Saccharomyces cerevisiae S288C: one gene and its partner. The gene in region 2 interacts genetically with the main gene of each other region. Each region holds a gene or a part of one and is shown on either strand. Other genes may lie near its edges. The genes, in order: RTR2 and RRF1.

Evidence for each region.
Region 1: mutations in RRF1 (region 2) and RTR2 together harm fitness more than expected from each alone (negative genetic interaction), as found in Saccharomyces cerevisiae (2 studies listed by BioGRID).

The regions. Positions count from the first base shown.
Region 1 is NC_001136.10:581,363-584,470, forward strand, and holds RTR2 (putative protein-serine/threonine phosphatase), read right to left. Parts: upstream 1,137-3,108; coding exon 546-1,136; downstream 1-545. Other genes in the region: RRG1 (Rrg1p), read left to right, coding at 1-422; OCA6 (protein-tyrosine-phosphatase), read right to left, coding at 1,429-2,103; DOS2 (Dos2p), read left to right, coding at 2,351-3,108. UniProt on the Saccharomyces cerevisiae protein: Probable RNA polymerase II subunit B1 C-terminal domain (CTD) phosphatase that regulates RNA polymerase II transcription. May have functional redundancy with RTR1.
Region 2 is NC_001140.6:182,158-185,384, forward strand, and holds RRF1 (Rrf1p), read left to right. Parts: upstream 1-1,908; coding exon 1,909-2,601; downstream 2,602-3,227. Other genes in the region: PUT2 (1-pyrroline-5-carboxylate dehydrogenase), read left to right, coding at 1-1,547; MSC7 (meiotic recombination directing protein), read right to left, coding at 2,718-3,227. UniProt on the Saccharomyces cerevisiae protein: Necessary for protein synthesis in mitochondria. Functions as a ribosome recycling factor in mitochondria.

The DNA of each region.
Region 1 (3,108 bases), on a different chromosome or scaffold from region 2:
TTTGCGAAATTAATGCTGCTTGGGCATTACATGAGGCCATTTGGGAGGAATATCTAGAGTCGAAAAAGATTATTAAAGTAAACTTACCGAAATACTTGGAATACGCTGCAAATATCCCAAAGTCTACTAAATGTAATCCTTCGAGTCAATATCAGAAAGTTAAAGAATGGGTAGATCCCGTGAGAGAAATAATGTTCGAATTACATTCCAAAAGTTTTCAAAGAGTGGAGTACTTTAACAAATATAAGGAAAAGCTTTTAAAGAACGGTGGCCAACTAGCATATTTTGATAAAAAGTCAAAAGAAATGTACGCCAAACGGTTGACACTATTCAGAAAAATGAGCAAAGAAACATTACCATATGTGACACTCTTTATAGAAGGGAGGGACTTGCCAAGTGTTTTGGCGAAATACGGTTTTTAAGTGCAAAAGTTGCGTGAATCAGAAAGTTTAATAGAAAATTTACTGGTTACTTCCATTTCTATGTAAATAGTCACTCGTATGACCGCGATAAGGATCCTGATGAAGACGATTTAATTATACTTCCTATTCTATACAGGTTTCCTCATCAGTAGTCAACTGTCCAAAGTACACATCCAATGGTAAAGGCTCATTCTTGTAGGTATCATCAAACTCAAGATCCTTGAAACTCGTTATCAGCGATTTGACGGTATCTATAGGTACCTCACTTCCAACTAATTCTTCTAAAAGGCTTACCGAGTACATATCATCAAACTCTAGATTAATGTAACTAGTTAAATGCACGCCTCGCCTTTCATGCAGAGGCGTTTGTGATAACTGTCTCATTAAATACAACGAACATTTACTGTGATAATTATTACAATACATTGAGTGGATAAAGAAGCCATCAGATGAATTTTCTGCCGCACTCTTATAGCATAGCGGGTACCCACATATTTTCTTTCCCCTTCTTGCATTAATAACATCCATATAAGACATCGGTGAAAGTAGCCGTGCTAAGTATTTTAATGTCTGCTCATTTTCGCAAAATGATTCTGTGAGCATTGAAACTATGGCAGATTCAATCATTCGGGCTTCCACTATAGATAATTGCTCATGTAATTGGTGTGATCCTAAAATTACTTTTTGAATGAACGTAGTGGTTATTATCTGCATTATGGCTTGCGTTGCTCCTGTCCTTCTAGTATAAAAATAAACCTATCACTTTTCTTAAATATGCTGCAATTTTTCCAGAATGCCTCCTTGCTGTTGATAAATGGCTTCCAATCTTCGCCAATACTAGAATGTGACCGGCTCGTCTCTTTTGTAAAGTCGATGTAATTTTCGTTGGACTTTTCAATGGCATTTGATATTGAAAAAAATGATTATCAATGCTGGAGGGCCCGGCTAAGACTTAACCCTGAAGCTTCTGTCTTTACAAAATATTATATGAATTTATCCCTGAATTTTACATACTATGAAATTTTAGTTTTGGCAAAGAATTTGACACGCTACTTACTCTTGCAACTTTTTCAGACGCATTAGCATCATCAACACGCAACTCATCTTTTGATTCTGTGGCTGTCCTTGCAATATATCGCACGGTAATCCAGGGAACTTTATCCTTTATATCCAGATCGTCAACTTCGATTTCAGAGTTAAAGTTTTCAATGAAATTTCTTTCATGAATATTGATGCTGGAATTATACACCAAAAACTCATTTAGTATGGATACCGTACTCCAATATGAAAACTTTCTCATACATGCTACTACGAGAGATATTATCAATTCACCATTCGTACAGTGCATATAACAGGGGTAATGCCCTTTATCAATCAGAAATTTAACGCATCGTACTACAACATCGTATTCAATAGGAACTGTTTTCTTTTTCCTTTTAATCTTGGGTTTGGTCTTGTCTGCCTTTCTTTCACTTTGACATTTTATATGAATTGTCTTAATGTTATTTTCTTCACAAAACTTTACCATTAGAGGATCAGTGCTCAAAGGTTCTGGTGTCAAAGATAATATGTATTTCAATCTAAGGGTTCTCAGGAATGGGAGATTGATTTCTCGTGGGTAAGATCCTCTATATAAATTTGGCTGTACAGTCGAAAATTGTAACGGAGTCACTAGTGTCATTTTGATACATATAGCTTATTCTAGATGTGTGAACTGGGTATTCATAGCAATTGTGAACCCATAGTTTATATTGGTACTCCTTTCCTTCTTAACAGAGTCTCTTTTTTTCTTTCGCATTTTTTTTGGCCTTACATCAAATAGCGGTGATTAATGATAAAAAGCACTTAGCAGAAGTCATGCAACAAAAAAAGAACACAACATAAGGGTACAGCTAGTGAGCTCCATTGCTTCGACGTTTTAGGATAAAATGGAATTCTTTTATGAAGAACAAGTAGCTTGTATCGAAGATGATAAAATAAGCAACTCTCATACCAAGGAAACTGGATCAACAGAAAACACTGAAAATAACGAACTTCAGAGCCGAGATGACAAAACAAATGAGGCCTTCCAAAAGTTAGAAGAGGAAGTCAATAAACGATATGAAAAGACTACAAGTGCATTCAAAAAGTTAGTAATCGAGAAAGATGACGGAATTGAAATTAACTTGCCAATTAGCAATGAAACTACAGAGACTGCACAAAAGTATTTGAAGAAACTAGACGAGAATATTCACAGCGTGGAAAGTCTAGCCCAGTCATATTGGAGCAAAATGAAAACTAAGAATTTTTGGTCTGGCTTCAGTAGCTTCGATAATGCTGCAGAAAATGACTCTAATGACAAGGATGAGAATTCGAAAGAAAATGAAATTGCTGTGGGTGGAAATAGAACAGAAGCCGAACTAAGGACATTATCTAAAGATAAATCGGTTTATTTAGACAATAAAATGGATTTGCAACTGGACCCGTTTGACGTGGATGAAAAAACTGAGGAGATATGTTCTATTTTACAGGGCGACAAAGATATCTCCAAATTAATGAACGACATCGTACCCCATAAAATCAGCTATAAAGATTTCTGGCACATCTATTTCTTACAAAGAAACAAAATTCTAGATAAAGAAAGTAAAAGGAAAGAAATATTGTCCAAAAAGGAAAAGGAAACGGAGGAAAAAGAAGTTGAGTGGGA
Region 2 (3,227 bases):
TGCCACTGGTCATCAATGGGGAAAGGATATATGACAATAATGAAAGAGCGCTTTTCCCGCAGACTAACCCTGCGAACCATCAACAAGTACTGGCAAACGTCACACAAGCCACGGAAAAAGATGTCATGAATGCTGTAAAAGCCGCCAAGGATGCCAAAAAGGATTGGTACAATCTACCGTTTTATGACAGATCTGCAATTTTTTTGAAAGCCGCTGACTTAATTTCCACCAAGTATCGTTATGACATGTTAGCTGCTACAATGCTGGGCCAGGGAAAAAATGTGTATCAGGCAGAAATCGACTGTATCACGGAATTATCTGACTTTTTTAGATACTATGTCAAGTATGCATCAGACTTGTATGCTCAACAACCCGTAGAGTCAGCGGATGGTACTTGGAATAAAGCTGAATACAGACCTTTAGAGGGATTTGTGTATGCTGTTTCACCATTCAACTTTACTGCTATTGCTGCAAACTTGATTGGGGCTCCAGCTTTGATGGGTAATACAGTTGTCTGGAAACCTTCACAAACCGCTGCCCTTTCAAATTACTTATTGATGACTGTTTTGGAAGAAGCGGGATTGCCAAAGGGTGTCATAAATTTCATTCCAGGTGATCCAGTTCAAGTTACTGACCAGGTATTAGCTGATAAAGATTTTGGTGCCTTGCATTTTACCGGTTCTACAAATGTCTTTAAGAGTTTGTATGGCAAAATACAAAGTGGCGTTGTTGAAGGGAAGTACAGAGATTACCCCCGTATTATTGGTGAGACAGGTGGTAAAAATTTCCATCTAGTTCACCCAAGTGCAAATATATCACATGCAGTACTCTCTACTATTAGAGGCACTTTCGAGTTCCAAGGCCAAAAGTGCTCTGCCGCTTCCAGGTTATATCTTCCAGAGTCAAAAAGTGAAGAATTCTTATCCGATATGTTTGGCATATTGCAGTCACAGAATGTTGTCCCAATGAACACATCCGCAAGTCCAATTTCTGGTGGGAATTTGCGGGGATTTATGGGTCCTGTCATCCATGAACAAAGTTTCGACAAATTAGTTAAAGTAATTGAAGATGCAAAGAAAGACCCCGAGTTGGAAATTCTTTACGGTGGACAATACGATAAAAGCCAAGGTTGGTTTGTCGGACCCACAGTCATAAAAGCCAAGAGACCAGATCATCCATATATGTCAACAGAATTTTTTGGCCCTATATTAACTGTTTACGAGTATCCAGATACTGAATTTAATGAAATCTGTGATATTATCGATAATACGAGTCAATACGCCTTAACTGGTGCTATTTTTGCCAAAGATCGTAAAGCAATTGAATACGCAGATGAGAAGTTGAAGTTTAGCGCAGGAAATTTCTACATAAATGATAAGTGTACTGGTGCCGTTGTTTCTCAGCAATGGTTTGGTGGCGCAAGAATGAGTGGTACCGACGATAAGGCTGGTGGTCCAAACATTTTAAGCAGATTTGTCAGTATTAGAAACACAAAGGAGAACTTCTACGAGTTGACTGATTTCAAATATCCATCGAATTATGAATAAAAAAATTTTTGTGGAATAGAACCGCGAATGCAGTCACTTCATCCATCAACTCATGTAAATGTTAGATTATCGAAAAAAGGGTTTTGATTACTTCATTAGGTTTTTTTAGTTTTACAATTTTAATTTATCTAGGTAAATAGTTTAAAAATATTCATTGAACCAACCGTCCAAATTCCCGTTCTATATTCTGTCATGACTTACTTATTCACGTTGCTATTTATTCGCCGCATATTCATTCTGTTTTTGGCATAAGGACCCGTCCGGAAACAGAACATCAATTTATTAAATACGTCCATTCGTAAGCTTAAAGATGGAAACTTTGGCGAGCAGTCCCTGACAAGAAAAATAACAGCAAGAAATAATGATTTTAACCACAGCTAGATTAAATTGTAGACCAGTCACCGTTCCTCGTCTATTTAATCGTTCTTTTAGTCAATCTTTCATAATTTTGAAGAAAAAAAGTTCTACCCCTACTGAGAAAGTCGAAGAAGATGAAATTGACGTGAATGAACTGCTGAAAAAGGCAGAAACTCAATTCAAAAAAACTTTAGAAATTCAAAAACAGAAAATGAATGAGATAAAACAGGGAAATTTTAATCCTAAGGTATTCAATAGTTTAGTGTTCAAAAATAACAGAAAGTTTACAGATATTGCTACCACATCCTTGAAAGGTAAAAATGCACTTTTAATAACAGTTTTCGACCCCAAAGATGTGAAAACTGTGATCAGTGGGGTGCTTGCTGCGAACCTGAATTTAACTCCTGAAAGGGTCCCAAATAACGATTTGCAATTGAAAGTTTCGTTACCACCACCAACTACAGAATCCCGGTTAAAAGTAGCTAAAGACTTAAAGAGAGTATTTGAAGAATATAAGCAGTCATCGCTAAAAGACTCATTAGGAACTATCAGAGGCAGTATTCTAAAGGAATTCAAAAGTTTCAAAAAGGATGATGCCGTTCGAAAAGCTGAGAGGGATTTGGAAAAACTGCATAAGGATTACGTGAACAAGCTTCATGACCAATTCCAGAAAGTTGAAAAAAGCATTGTAAAATGAGGAATTTCGTAACGTGTATAGAATCAAAAAATCATAAATCTTGTACATAAAAAGTTCATTTTATATAATAATAAATACCAAATTATTGATAAGTTTGTTGCTTCCTCTAAAGTAAACTAGCTGGCTTCTTTAGCTAAAGAGAACAGTGACTTTATTCTTTGCCATGTGGAATTTGTATAAGCTCCTACGATGAAACTCTTTACAAAATTCCAAGCCTTAGCATTGTTACGAATAGGGTAGTCTAATGGTTTTGGAATTTGAGTGGAGACAAAAGGCAAAGTATCAAAACAGACACTTTTGGCATTGCACAAACCCAAAAGACCTTCTTCACCACCAAATTTACCGTAACCTGAACCATTGATACCACCAAATGGTAATTGACAAACATAGAATGTAGCAAAATCATTAATGGCTACATTACCAGTTTGTAGGCTATTTGCGACGTAATTGCATTCCTTGATATCCGCACCAAACACAGAACCACCTAGACCAAATGGCGCAGAGTTGGCTAGTTGTACACAATGGTCAGTATTCTTAGCTTTCATCATGACTAAAATTGGGCCAAACACTTCGTTTTGTGCTATTTTCATTTCTGGAGTGACATCCACCAAAAGAGTTGGTTGGAA